2 linked regions of the Pelodiscus sinensis genome follow. The protein of the gene in region 1 purifies or fractionates together with the protein of each later gene. This does not show direct contact. Links are inferred from orthologs where the notes say so. Each region holds a gene or a part of one and is shown on either strand. Other genes may lie near its edges.

Region 1 (7,513 bases):
GGCCAGGAGCCTGCACCTCTTCACTCCCTCCTCTGGTGATGTTACCACTCCCTTCTGCCTCACCACCAGAGCCACTCTCCCCCTCCCCCTCCCCCCAGGTTGTTCTTGGTCTGCTTCCTCTCCTCCTCTGATCCCAATGCCTCACTGCCAGTTCAACCATAACAAGAAAAAAAGCCCCAGACCTCTTTACCCATGGTTCCAGCCAATCTCTGCCCTCCCAGCGCCATCACAGCACACAAGTCCATTACTTCCCCAGGGAAAGTAATCCCCCTGGACCCCATGCCTCTCTTTCCCCAAGCCCAACTTCATCAGTGGGCATTTATGGTATTGTCAGGCTAACTTAAATAGCCCCTTAGAGCAGAGTGTTTGTCATGTTTATCTGGGAAGCCACACACACACACCTATGGTTGGTGTGCTGTAAATAGCAACTGCCTGGGGAAGACAGACCCTACTCTTGATGACTGTGACTAGGGAAATGGCTTTTCCCCCACCAGAAAGGGTTAGGGTGACTCATGGCTGCTCTGTTGAATTTCAAGGTTTGCTGACTTCAGAACATCAAGTCAATTGTTAGACACCCCCCTCCAGGAGTGTAAAATCTTGCACACTTAGCCAATGCCTACAGTACCACTTTTAGCACTAAAACTTTAGTTGTTCAGGGGTGTGGAAAAAAACAAAACAAAACAAAAAAACACCTTTCTGAGCAACAAAAGTCTTAGTGCTGAGAAGTGCCGGGATAGAGAATACTTCCCTGGGAACCAGGCTCTCAGAGAGCTTAACAGCCCTCATTTGAGGTAGTATTTTTTATCCCCAGGAGAGGTCTCCCCCAGTGATGAAGTGTGGCTGTCCTGCCCAGGCATACTGACACAGGGTGTGTAACGTCAATGATTATTAAAAATGTAAATGTTGGCCCTGGCAGTGGTGTATCAAGTGAAACTGAATCTGTCATGGCCAGTAGCAGAGCTGACCAACCTATGGAGAGAGTAATGAGTTCTCTTAGAAAGCCCTAACAGTTACCAAATTGCTTCTACTGAGGTTCCTTAGAAGACCAAGCCAGGAAAGGAGCCTTAATGATTTCAGCCCACTTTTGCGGGAACAGTCTGAACAAGAGTTTCTGGTCCAGCTAGAGCAGCTGTGGCCAACCTGCGGATCGCGAGCCACACGCGGCTCTTCCCCCCCCTTAAAGTGTGGCTTGTGAACCCTCCTCCATGGCTCGTGAAGCTGCCCCTGGAAACAGACCCTGGTTCCCTGAGCTCACCAGGAGCCGTCCGGCGCAGCGAAGCAAAGATGGCGCTGATATGGCCAAGAAGCCAACCTGAGGTTTTGTTTTTTTTTAAAAAGCAGTGTCTTTTTTTGTGACAACTTCCCCCCACCCCCTTTGCACTATATGCACAACTATTTTGGCTCTTTTCCTGTAATGGGTTGGCCACCCCTGGGCTAGAGGGATATAAGCAGTTTCTATTTTGTTTTTGTAACTAAAGAGAAAAGCCTCTCTAACTGTGCACATACTAGATTAGACTCAATAGACATGTTGGCCATGTACTGGAAAATCTCCCCCTCATATTGCTTTGTTGCAAGGGTTAGGCAAACCCCGTTTTAATGAGGCTGCTGGTCACAGGTTTCCCCAGGGAGGAAACACATGCCTGTGTTGAGGTCAGGGAGAGATGTGCAGGTAGGTCAGTGACCATAACACCGACCCTGGAGCACTCTATGAGGCAAGGCAGCCACACCTCTCAAGCTTTCCATTGGAAAATCTAACCAGAATCAAAAGGAAAAGATCAACCCTGTATGCACAAACATTTTACAAGCATATAATCGGACAACCCCCATCCAGCCAGGCCTCTATCTAGCCCCAATCGGCTCAGTGAAGAGAAAAATCCTGCCACTTACTCTCTCAACTTCTTTTTGTCATCTGTCATTTTCTCTCCAGCAAAGCTTAAGTGATATGTTCTCCATACATAGGTCCTGGAAAAGCAAAATTCCATGACTTAACGGAATGACTGAGCAGCATGGGCCTTCAGGCTCTTCCTGCCCCACATGTGCTTTACAAGGGTCTCTACCCTGCAGTGGTATCTCTTGATTTGATCGATCGATCGATCGCTCGCGCGCTCTCTCTCTCTCTCTCTCTCTCTCTCTCTCTCTCTCTCTCTCTCTCTCTCTCACACACACACACACACACACACACACACACACACACACACAAAGGGCACGATTGCGTGAGTGGCTACTTTACATGGTAGCGACAAGATGCATCAGATTGCCCATAGCACCCCCTTGTCTTTTCTGGGAGCCCCCCCACTCACCAGCTAATGTGCTGTCTGCCTCCTTCCCGCTCTTGCTTCAGCTGCACGTATCGCTGGATGGCCTTCTTCAGGTCCAGGACGCTGGCATTCTGTACCACTACCACAGCTAAAATGGAAGACACTGTCAACTAGCAGTAACCCAAGAGATGCATTCCGATAGGCAGAGCCCCACCCTGACCTGTTGGAAGTGGCACTTTAAGTGGAGCTGCATTGGGCAGAAGGGACAGCCAGCCCTCAGCACCACTGGGACCACACCATGCCTCCCCCAGCCAGCCATCAGCACCACCCTGGACTGCGGGGATAGGGGCAGTGATTAAAGGCCCGGGACTCCAGCTGCCACTGCAATAGCAATACTGCGGCAACAGTGGCACCAGAGCCCCAGGCGCTGTTAAATCACTGGGCCCCGGGAAACCTGTCCTCTTTGCTGCCCCACCTCCAGTCTGCAGCCTTGGCCTGGGCCAACAAGGGGAAGAGGTCTCCTTCCCAGAGCTTGCTCTGCCTCTGAGCTGAACTAATCCTGTTCCCCAATCAGCTGTTCATGGCTGGGGAAGGAGGGGTAGCAGCAGCTCTCTTCCTCTAGGAGCTCCATGAATCAGGATTCCTGGCACTCTGGGGCTATGTCTAGACTTTTCGCAATCAGGGCTTTTTTGTGCAAAACAAATCTGAGCTGTCTACACTGGCCCTTTTGCACAAAAGCTTTGCATAAAAGGACTTTTGCCAGAACGGGAGCAGCATAGTATTTCCGCAAGAAGCACTGATTTCTTACATGAGATCGTCAGTGTTCTTGCAGAAACTCAAGCGGCCAGTGTAGACAGCTGGGAAGTTTTTCCACAAAAGCGGCTGCTTTTGTGGAAAAACTTGCCAGTCTAGACACAGCTTGGGAGTCTTGAAGAGCCATGTGCTAGACCTGAAAGAGCCACATGCCGCTTGTGGGTAATGTGCTTAGGCTTAGTGCTGCACTAGATCAAGCGGCAAGAGAAAATATGGGAACTGAACCTCGGTCTCAATATCCTCCCCAGATCCTACCCAGCTTAAGCAGGGGCTGCCCATACCTGCCCTGTGCCAAGATCTTAACTGGCAGCAACTACCTACCTAGTTGACTTTCCCATTTATCCCCTGCTCACTCCAGCTTCTGACAGACGAATGCTTCAGAGCACGGACATGGCTGTGATTTGCAGGGGACACAATTCAACACCGTCCCTGCATGTGCCATTTAACATGACAACCGTGTACTTAGAGCATATATGTGATCTTAGAAGGTAAAGCTACACTGTAATGAAGACAGGCCGTTCTTGCGCAAGAACCCGCAGAGCAGCCTCACTGCCCGCCTGCTCTTGTGCGAGACTTACAGTACAGCGGCAGAAGATGGGGCTTCTTGTGCAAGAGCTACGCTCTTTTCTAACAAGCGTAAGCGCTCTCGCGCAAGAGGGTAGTGTGGACGCGCGGCAGGAGTTTCTTGTGCACGAAAGCCGGATGGCTAAAATGGCTCTCTTGCGCAAGAGAGCATCCACACTGCCAGGGATGCTCTTTCACAAAAGCACGTGGCAGTGTGGCCGTGTTCTTGTGCAAGAACCCGCCGGTGTAGAGACAGCCTAGGAGCGGATCTCAGAATCCCTGCTCCAGTTTGAGCCCACATGTCTATGCCGCAAGTTTTAGCCCCATAGCCCGAGTCCCGCCAGCCAGAGGGGATGGACTCAATGCTGCGGGCTTTCCAGAGCAGAGCGGCCCCCCAGCGGCTCCCAACACCACCCCGCACAGACGGCGCAGGCCAGTGCGGGGGACTCACGCATCACTTCTTCATCCGCCTTGCACACGCGCACAGTCATGGCCTGGCCGTACTCCAGCGCGATCTGCGAATTGATTTCCTCCACCGTGACCTGCCGGGAAGCGAAGGGCCGATGAAGCGCCCGGCGCCGGCAGGGCTCCTGCAGCCATGGGGGTCTGACCCCCTCCAAGGCTGTATCGCCCCGCCCCCACCCGCAGTCACGTGGGGCGCGAGCTCGGGACACGCCCCCTCCCCCCGTGCGACTCGTTAACGGTCAGTGCCGCGGGGCAGTCACGAGGCCGCGGGCGGGGCCGGGCGCGCGCCGCGCGGGCGGAGGGGAGGCGCTACCTGCACGGGCAGGTCGCAGAGCAGCGGGTCCTGCACGAGCCGGGCCAGCCCCTCCTGGAAGAGGTCGAGCACCTCGGCGTGCGCCAGCTCCTCCTCCTCGGGGCCCGACTCCGCCATCGCCGCCGGCAGGGCGGGGCTTCCTGTGACCCGCTCGGGGGAAGAGGCGGGGCCGCGCCGTGACCCGGAAGCAGAAATGCTGCTGTTCTGCCCGGCCTGCGGGAACGTGCTGGTGGCCGAGGAAGGCGCGAGGTGCCACCGCTTCGCCTGCACCACGTGTCCCTACGTGCGCAACGTCACGCGCAAGGTAACCCCCGCCCCCCCCTGCCACCTCGGTGGGCGGGGACTGACAGCCCCAACGGCCGACCTGCTGGGGCAGAGCAACCAATCAGAGCCTGGGCGGGGGTTGCCCTGAGGAGGCTGCTGGGGGCGGAGCTAATCGCTAGGAGGGTGGGGCTGATGTGGGCGGGGCTCCTGTCGTGCCTGAGCCCCGCCTACCAGGTGGGGGCTGGGCAGGCACTTCACAGCCTGTCCCCACAGGTGAGCAGCCGCAAGTACCCCAAGCTGAAGGAGGTGGACGATGTGCTGGGCGGCGCGGCGGCCTGGGAGAACGTGGACTCCACGGCGGGTGAGCGCCGGCCTCTGCGCTGCTCTCCGACTGGCCTGGGCCAGCAGCCGGCCCCGGGCCCCCTTCCAGGAGATCTGGCTCCAGCGACAGGCCACCTAGCCCATATCCTTAGAGCCCTGCCGCATCCATAGCCCCCACAACGAGCCGCAGACACCTGCACGTACCACCCCTCTGCGGATGCAGATACCCGCGGATTTGCAGGGTTCTAGATTAAAAAATTTGCATCCACATCCGCAGAAATGAGCTGCTGGTCTCCGCTTCCCCAGATACTTGCGGACATAAAGCAGGTATCCGCAGATTTGCAGGGCTCTACGTATCCTGTCCAATTACATAGCCAGCACCAGGTGCTTTGTAGGGAACAAATAGAACGTGTGGTTATCACGTGATGGATTTTGTCACCCATTCTCAGTTTCTGGCAGTCAAGCTAGAGCCATTCAGAGCATGGGGTTGTGTACCTGCTAGTTTTGCCTAATAGCCAATGATGGACTTCTCCTCCATGAACCTCTTTTGAAACCTTTTATGGTTTTGGCCTTCACAATATCCCCTGGCAGTGAGTCCCACAGGTTGTCTGTGTTTTGTGAAGAGACACTTCCTTCTGTTTGTTTTAAATCTGCTACCTGTTAACACAAGAACCTGGAGTCACCAAATAACATGTGAAGGAGGAAATATTTTCTTATTTACTTTCTGTATATCAGTCATCATTCTATAGACTTCTGTCACATCCTCTCTGTTATTTCTTTTCCAAGCTGAAATACCCCAGGCTATTTAATCTCTCTATAGAAGCTGAGTCATACCACGGATCATTTTTGCCGCCCTTTCCAATTTTGATCTATTTTTTTTGAGAGGGGGTGACCAGAATTGCACATATTATTCAAGGTGTGGTTGCACCATGGATTTATGTAGTGGTATTATATGTTTTGTCTTATTGCCTATCCCTTTCCTACTGGTTCCTAATATTGTCACCTCTTTTGATTGCTGCTGCACACTGAGCAGATATTTTTCAGAGAACTATCCACAATGACTCCATGGATAGTTAGTGTTGCCCTTGTATTTTAGAACCAGCTAGTCCCCAACATGCTAAATTCAGTGCCATTAGGGGGTGTTCTCAAGCACAGTGGCCTGAGGTTCTCATCTACCCCTGAAGGCCCTTTTAAGTTCTCTCATCATGTAAAAAGTGAGCCAGTGGACATTTGGAAATCTCTCTTGAATGGCTTGTGGAAGGCTGCATTCTAGTCCATCAGGTAGAGTGGCCCTCACAGTGAGCTCCCCTGGCAGAATGAAGAATTTGCTTTATTACCCTGGGAGCTGTACTCACTAGAGTTCTGGTTTCTTTTACAGAGCCATGTCCCAAGTGTGAGCATCCTCGCGCCTACTTCATGCAGATTCAGACCAGATCAGCTGATGAACCCATGACCACCTTCTACAAGTGTTGTAATGCCCAGTGTGGGCACAGGTGGAGGGACTGACTGGTTTCAGATTTAATTTCTTCAGTGTTGTTTTTGCTGTTTGTTTGAAAATTCCCCAGCTGAGTTGTATGATATATGGTAATGTGGAAATAAATATCCCTGGTTTCAGTTGTTGCATGAGTTTAAATTAACATTGACTGCTGCTAGTGCAGGCATTCACCATAATCTGATGGTCCAGGGTGAAGGTTATGCATATACTGCACATTTTCCTAATGGCACACACAGCAGAACAAAGAGCTGCCTCTGTTTAGAGCTGTGGTGTCTAACCAGTTCTGAATCAGTAGCCAGTATAGTGGTTGCTGCTATAGCAAACTAGCCCCTCAGCCAGCCAAATAGCCACATGTGGCTAGCGTATTGGATGCTATGGTGTAGGGTGGTGGGTCACCAGCGCCTCCTACAATGCAGAGGCTAGGTCACTTGCATCACCACGAAGTGTCCACCCAGCTCTTGTCTCTGTTGTACTCAAGAGTTGGGGGCACAGGATCCAGTAGAAGGTTGTAGGGAAAACAAGTACGTGTAGGCTTCCCGGCTCCCAAATAAAGAGGTAGAGGCCTGTATGCCTGCAGCTGGAGCAGCAGAATATTAGCCCCTTCTCCCCTTGATTTTCCATGTGCAGGTTTATGCACTAGTTGTGTGAGAGATTTCTGGTAGTAAAGGGCTCTTTAATCTTTGATATTGTGTTAAGTAGATTCTGATCAATGTTACCAATGCAAAAGCCTTTTGGTGAAGAGATCTCTGATTATATAAAACACTATAGTATCTCCCGTGACTTGGAGAAATCAAATCCAGGTACTGAAGTTTGAATACAAAGCCATATCCTAAACTGACAGTTTCCCACCTCTAGTAGGTGCTGGGATTGTTTGAAGATTTATCATACATGACCCTATAATATTCATGTTTGCTTTACAATGGGCCTGAAGTAATTCCCAAGCAGAAATAAAAATTTATTTAACAAAACATTACAAAATGACAGAACACAAGTTACGGGGGACACCAGAAGTTTCACCTC
Region 2 (7,514 bases), on another chromosome or scaffold:
ATTTCTAGGAGGTCAGAGCAGCAATATTTACTCTTCCAAAACCTGTGCTAGTTTGACTGTATTCATTTACACTTTTCTACATGGTGCATTATCTGGGGATTATACTCAGTGGCTATGTCTAGACTGGCATGATTTTCCGCAAATGCTTTTAATGGAAAAATTTTCTGTTAAAAGCATTTGTGGAAAAGAGCGTCTAGATTGGCACGGACGCTTTCCGCAAAAGCACTTTTTGCGGAAAAGCGTCCGTGCCAATCTAGACGTGCTTTTCTGCAAAAAAGCCCCGATCGCCATTTTCGCGATCGGGGCTTTTTTGCGCAAAACAAATCTGAGCTGTCTACACTGGCCCTTTTGCGCAAAAGCTTTTGCGTAAAAGGACTTTTGCCTGAATGGGAGCAGCATAGTATTTCCGCAAGAAGCACTGATTTCTTACATGAGATCGTCAGTGTTCTTGCAGAAATTCAAGCGGCCAGTGTAGACAGCTGGCAAGTTTTTCCGCAAAAGCAGCTGGTTTTGTGGAAAAACTTGCCAGTCTAGACACAGCCAATCAGTTTTCCCGGTGCGGCCATGAGGCATGTTCATAATTCTCATTGTCACCCTGGATCCTCTGTGGAAGATAACCGCAGTGGTGAATTTCCATTCTTCAGGTTCAGTAGCTGGTTTGGGACCAGTCCCAGATCCCTGCCCATACCACAGCCTCACATTTTCGTTCCTTCCGATCTCGTGTCAATGCCATCTGGTTCCAGGAGCTGCCTGCATTCAAGTTACTTGAGCTGTTCTGTAATCTCTTCCTCAGAGCCGTCTTGCTCTGTTCCTGCCATTCTCTGATTTCCTGAAATAGGGATTTCCTTCTCATCTGCTTTAGGAAGGTTGCTGATTTACCTTCTCTCCAACTGCTTCATCCCCTTTAATTCCCCTACCCACTCCTTGATGTTCTAAGGGCTTGCAGACACATGGGTACCATTGTTTGCCTGCATTGTGCCTTTTCATCGCACTTGATTTCCCATCCTTGCAGACACTTGGCACTACAAGAGTGGGTCTTAATATTCTAAGTGATTTCTAAGCACAGCAACCCCCCCACCTTTATGCAAATCAATCATTGATACAAATTCTGTGAGGTTTCCTTGTGCATTTCCTTGGCCAAATCTTGTCCCTCGTGCAATCCAGAACAGGATGCCAAAGTTACTCGCTGCTGCATTATTCCAAGGACTTCTGCAGCTGAAGTGGTTCTTAATGCCACGAAAAGCCTTCAATACTGTCATGACAACGGTTCAGTGACTTGGCAGGGACCAGCCTTGGAGAAGCTCTGATCCTTTGCCTGTATTGCTTTTGTGCATTAAACAGATGCTTCTCTGAGAGCCTCCATTTAATTACATGCATGTAATTTACTATTTCATGCAGCAGAGTTGCTTGCTTCATTAAAAATGGTGCTGACTCACTTCCACAGAATCATCTCCCCATCCTGAGTTGCTAAATATTCAGCTGTCATTTCTGCAGCAGAGCGTTTTGGCAACAAAGGGGTGTCCAGGCAGTGATCAAACAGAAGAGGCATGGAAGGGGATGCTGCCAAGTCCTGTCCTTATTCTTCACCAAGGACTGGACATCACGCTTTGCTCTTATACTACAAACAGCACCTTTGCCCTGCCTCACAGTTACTTCAAACGGAGGGGCTATTTGCCTAAGCCCTCTTCTCTCTGGCAGGGAATTCTCTAAAATATGTTTGTTAATTTCAAATGATGTTTGCCATATAAAGACAACTTCATCTTCAGCTAAGATCCCCCTTCTTTCTTGCACACGTACGCACAAACATCCCCTACAAATGGACACGGAACGTCTCCATTCTCCACAAACATTCAATTATTGTGAGAAGAACAAAATGTAAAGCCAGTTCACACATCTCAGCTGAAAGCTGAAGTTATCTGGGATACTGCTGTAGCCGGAATTCGAAGGAAGAATTATGCAACTGAGCAACCTCTACGAGTATCCATAATCGACAGACCTAAGTGTCTGTTTAGATCAGGTGCGTCACTGGTCTCAAGAATTGGACTTAGGAAGCAGGACATGTGTCACCCATGCTGACTTGGTGATCATTAGCAATCCCATGGCAGAGAATCACAGAATACCAGAACTGAAAGGGTATCAAATCCAATCCCCTGCCCTCACAGCAGGGCCAACCACGTTTAAGTTTTGTGTTGTTAACCCCAATGCCCCAGGTCAATTACAATGTTGGTAACTGTGTTCTACCCACCTGGACTCCCCTGCAAGGTCCAGGTAACAGAATTTTTTGCCAGTCCTTGCCCTAAACTGGTATGCAGTGTTACTGGTGGCTTTTAAACAATTGCTACATCCCAGCCCGGAGGCCGATGCACTGTGGAGAAGGGTGAAATGGTCCTTCTGGGACAGGAGGTGGCTGGCAACAGGCTTTGCGATGAGTGACAGGGAATGACAGACCCCAAGGGCACTTCCCACAAGAGAGACCCATGGGGAGGGGAGGGCTTGGCAACAGAGCCCCGCAATGGGGGGGGCATGGAGGAGGAGAAGTCCTCTGCAACAGAGGACCAAGGGGAGGGGGGGTTGACCAGGTGAGCCCCAGCCACGGAGGAGGGAACCCCCTGGGAGGAGCGTGGGGGGAGGGGCCAGCAGCAGATGGGGCCTCCCAGAGAGGAATGTGGGGGCTAGCCCTAGAGGTGGAGTCCGGAGGGGGACACCCAACAACAGAGCGGGGGGGGGACTCAGGGAGGAGTCGGGGGACACCCAACAACAGAGCGGGGGGGAGACTCAGGGAGGAGTCGGGGGGGACTCAACAACAGAGCGGGGGGGGGAGAGGAGTCAGGGAGGAGGCGGGGGGGACCCAACACCAGAGCGGGGGGGGGCTCGGGGAGGACCCAACACCAGAGCGGGGGGGGGAACGGGACGACTCGGGGAGGAGGCGGGGGGGCCCAACACCAGAGCGGGGGGGGGGCCTCGGGGAGGAGGCGGGGGGGACCCAACACCAGAGCGGGGGGGGGGGGGGGAACGACTCGGGGAGGGACCCAACACCAGAGCGGGGGGGGGGCCTCGGGGAGGAGGCGGGGGGGACCCAACACCAGAGCGGGGGGGGGGGGGGAACGACTCGGGGAGGGACCCAACACCAGAGCGGGGGGGGGGGACTCGGGGAGGAGGCAGGGGGGCCCAACACCAGCGCGGGGGGGGACCCAACACCAGAGCGGGGGGGGGACTCAGGAAGGAGGCGGGGGGGACCCAACACGAGAGGGGGGGGCTCGGGGAGGAGGCGGGGGGGGACCCAACTCGAGAGGGGGGGGCTCGGGGAGGAGGCGGGGGGGACCCAACACCAGAGCGGGGGGGGACCCAACACCAGAGCGGGGGGGGGGACTCAGGGAGGAGGCGGGGGGGACCCAACACGAGAGGGGGGGGCTCGGGGAGGAGGCGGGGGGGACCCAACACCAGAGCGGGGGGGGCTCGGGGAGGAGGCGGGGGGGCCCAACACCAGAGGGGGGGCCTCGGGGAGGAGGCGGGGGGGACCCAACACCAGAGCAGGGGGGGACTCGGGGAGGAGGCGGGGGGGACCCAACACCAGAGGGGGGGGACTCGGGGAGGAGGCGGGGGGGACCCAACACCAGAGCAGGGGGGGGACTCGAGGAGGAGGCGGGGGGGGACCCAACACCAGAGCGGGGGGGGGGGGGACTCGGGGAGGAGGCGGGGGGGACCCAACACCAGAGCGGGGGGGGGGCTCGGGGAGGAGGCGGGGGGGACCCAACACCAGAGCGGGGGGGGGCTCGGGGAGGAGGCGGGGGGGACCCAACACCAGAGCGGGGGGGGGCTCGGGGAGGAGGCGGGGGGGCCCAACACCAGAGCGGGGGGGGGGCTCAGGGAGGAGGCGGGGGGGCTCGGGGAGGAGGCGGGGGGGCCCAACACCAGAGCGGGGGAGGGCTCGGGGAGGAGGCGAGGGGGGCCCAACACCAGAGCGGGGGGGGGCTCGGAGAGGAGGCGGGGGGGCCCAACACCGGAGCGGGGGGGGCTCGGGGAGGAGGCGGGGGGGACCCAACACCAGAGCGGGGGGGGGGCTCGGGGAGGAGGCGGGGGGGGGGCTCGGGGAGGAGGCGGGGGGGACCCAACACCAGAGCGGGGGGGGGCTCGGAGAGGAGGCGGGGGGGCCCAACACCGGAGCGGGGGGGGCTCGGGGAGGAGGCGGGGGGGACCCAACACCAGAGCGGGGGGGGGGGCTCGGGGAGGAGGCGGGGGGGGGGCTCGGGGAGGAGGCGGGGGGGACCCAACACCAGAGGGGGGGGGCTCGGGGAGGAGGCGGGGGGGGCGCGGGGAGGAGGCGGGGGGGACCCAACACCAGAGCGGGGGGGGGGCGCGGGGAGGAGGCGGGGGGGCCCAACACCAGAGCGGGGGGGGCTCGGGGCGGAGGCGGGGGGGGCGCGGGGAGGGGCCGGGCGCGGGGCGGGGCGGAACGGGGCGCGCGGCGGCGGTTGCCGGGCGGGCGGGCCGGCGTTGCACAGGCCGGGCCATGGCGCGGGAGCCCGAGCTCGTGCTGCGCTACCTGGCCGAGCTGGAGGCGCTGGCGGAGGAGGCGCTGGCCGGGCGGCGGCAGGTACCGGGAGCGGGGGGGGGACCCCCGCGACCCCCCCCCGCCCGTTCCCCCCCCCCGGGCTCTGACCCCCCCTCTCTCCGGCAGATCGCGGAGCTGGACGCGAAGCGGAACCAGAACCGGGAGGCGCTCAGGGCGCTGCGGACGGACCCGGAGCCCGCCGGTGAGGGAGCCAGCGCGCATGCGCCGGGCGGCCCCCCCCTCCCGCTGCAGAGCGGCCCGCGGGCTGCACGCGAGTGTCCGCCCGGGCCGCCTGCAGCGTCCGGCTCCCCCATTGGCCGAGCCGCCCTGCCAGTCTGCACGGGCCCGCCTTGTGTTGCAGCCAGGCCAGGCAGCTACAGCTCCACTGCTTGCCTACAGTGTGGGCGGGTGTCATTGCAACCCCTCACTGGCCCTTGGAATCGGGCTGCGTCCAGACTGGCCAGTTTTCCCGGAAAATCAGCCACTTTCCCGGAAAAACTTGCCAGCTGTCTACACTGGCCGCTTGAATTTCCGCAAAAGCACTGACTTCCTGCTGTCTGAAATCAGGGCTTCTTGCAGAAATACTGTGCTGCTCCCGTTCGGGGAAAAGTCCCTTTTGCACAAAACTTTTGCGCAAAAGGGCCAGTGTAGACAGCTCAGATTCGTTTTCCGCAAAAAAGCCCCGATCACAAAAATGGCGATTGGGGCTTTTTTGCAGAAAAGCGCGTCTAGATTGGCCACGGACACTTTTCCGCAAAAAGTGCTTTGGCAGAAAAGCATCCGTGCCAATCTAGACGCTCTTTTCCGAAAATGCTTTTAACAGAAATCATGCCAGTCTAGACGCAGCCACTCTGTATATGAGAACATGATATTCTGCTCTGCGTTTTTAGCAACAGATTTATTAACTAAGACCCAATGGCAGACTCTTCACTGGGATGGTGAAAGAACCCAACTTGGGCACAGACATCCCAAGTTAGTTTTGAAGAGCTGGTCGTTGGAAGAAACGTTTATAATTTAAAAATTGAGGAGATTGAATTAGAAAGTTACAGACAAAAATAGAGGGATGCCATCTTTAAAGTCACTTCTTAAAACAGAGCTGCATTTAAAAATTTACTTGATCTCTGTAGTAAATATTGAATAGTTTCAGAAACTAAATAAGGGTTTTGGGAAACCAAGTGTGTGTCTTTCTGCTCTGAAAGGGTAGAATTGTTTGTGGTGACTTAACTCACTCTTGCATAGGTTCCGTGATTTCTGCTTTATATCCATATCTCATTTTTGTGGATGCGGATACAAATTTTGCATCTAGAACCCTGCACATTTGTGGATATCCACTTTATATCTGCGGCTATGGATGCAGGTATCTGTACCTCGTTTTTGTGGATACAGATGCCAGTACAAAATATTGAAATCCACGAGACTGCATCTTGCTTAATTTCTCTTAGAAACACACCTAAACGATTCTGTAGAGTAGACTATAGGGGGATTTACAAAGGCTAGCCTGCTGGTTAGATTTTACATTTATTTTGTACCCAGTAGGAAGCAGAGAAGCGCATTGTGAAAATATCTACATAGGCTTGCTTTCTCTTTTCAGAAACAGCAATGGTTTGCTTTGGAAACATGTTTATTCAGCTTCCAAAATCAAAGACTAAAGAAATGATTCAGAAAGGTAAGACAGATGTCAGATTTCTAAAGTCTGTTTGAAAACTCAAGCGTCAGCCAGTATTGAACAAGGGGTTTTTTTTGCATACCGTGGACACAGACACAGGAGTTGTCAGATGTGTGGTACTTGTGCTAATTTAGTTGCTGAGTTACTCTCTTTACCGACTTAGAGCTTTTGCACGCGGGGCTTTTATTCTTGCTGCCATGTAGAAGCTTGGCTCCTACCTAGCACTTCTCATCCCTAGGCCTCAAAGTGCTTTACAGAGAAGGCTTAATTACGAGTATTTATATTTTACAGATAGGGAGATTGAAGCACAGAGGAGTAGCTTGCCACACACAGAGCAGTGGCAGAATAAGGAGTAGAACTCAAGTTTCCTAACACGCAGGTTATTGTTTTATCCCATGTGCCAACCTGCATTGTGAACCATGTACCCTGTGTTTCCTTTTCAAAGCGTGGCACAGCATTCTTGAGGCAGATCAGAGGAAGAGGCACTGAACTCAGCTGGGAAATAAGATGGTCTCTGTCCATATTGTGCACATAACTGAGACTTTACTCTTTCCCAAGAAACTAGGAGACTAAATGCATAAAGCTACACTATGTGCATATTTTAACACTTAAGTATAAACTGTACAGGGACAAATTAGGTCAAAGAATTAAGGGCGCAGAGCTGAGGAGGAATTTCGGAGGGGCCCAGGCAAGGTAGGTAAATGAACAACAAAGTGGCAGATGGAATTCAGTGGGGACAAATAGATATTAGAGGGAATAATTTGAACCCCTCATACATTTCACTGAGATGTGCATTAAAGCAAACTGTGTTAGGGTACAATAGGCTGGGGAATGCTATGGAAAATATCTGAATACAGCCTCTCCCCGAGTTACGAACAAGTTACGGACCAAACACTTGGCCGTAACTCGATCTGTTCGCAACTCGGACCCCATTGAGTTACATAGTGACTGCGCTGTTCGTAACTCGGGGACCGCCTTTACGACCGCTCCATGGGAGCTTTGGTCGTAAATGCGAACGGTCGTAACTCGGGGACCGCCTTTATGACCGCTCCATGGGAGCTTTGGTCGTAAATGCGAACGGTCGTAACTCAGGGACCGGCTGTACCAGTCTATAAATCAATAGGGCACTGTCTTTTTAATACTATATGCAGCATTGGGCCCCCATATCAAAGGAGGCACAACAGAATTCGAGGGGCTTTGGAGATGAGTGACAAAAAAATCTCTGCTATGAGGGGATGTGATAAAGGTATTAAACAAAAGGGGGGGGCAGGCGAAGGTGTATTCAACTTGCCTCTA

What was found. Proteins that work in one complex are often made in the same cells at the same time.
Region 2: the proteins of POLR3K (region 1) and PDRG1 purify together in Homo sapiens (affinity purification with mass spectrometry; 3 studies listed by BioGRID and IntAct, with this or other methods). This does not show direct contact. The link is inferred for Pelodiscus sinensis from reciprocal best matches to the Homo sapiens genes POLR3K and PDRG1.

What each region holds. Positions count from the first base shown.
Region 1 is NC_134726.1:4,937,777-4,945,289, forward strand, and holds POLR3K (DNA-directed RNA polymerase III subunit RPC10), read left to right. Parts: upstream 1-4,583; 5' UTR 4,584-4,606; coding exon 4,607-4,717; intron 4,718-4,950; coding exon 4,951-5,038; intron 5,039-6,376; coding exon 6,377-6,504; 3' UTR 6,505-6,612; downstream 6,613-7,513. Other genes in the region: SNRNP25 (U11/U12 small nuclear ribonucleoprotein 25 kDa protein), read right to left, coding at 1,888-1,962, 2,301-2,406, 4,087-4,177, 4,414-4,530. UniProt on the Homo sapiens protein: Core component of RNA polymerase III (Pol III) which synthesizes small non-coding RNAs using the four ribonucleoside triphosphates as substrates. Can mediate Pol I proofreading of the nascent RNA transcript.
Region 2 is NC_134728.1:1,577,562-1,585,075, forward strand, and holds the start of PDRG1 (p53 and DNA damage-regulated protein 1), read left to right. Parts: upstream 1-4,433; 5' UTR 4,434-4,510; coding exon 4,511-4,594; intron 4,595-4,678; coding exon 4,679-4,754; intron 4,755-6,143; coding exon 6,144-6,218; intron 6,219-7,514. UniProt on the Homo sapiens protein: May play a role in chaperone-mediated protein folding.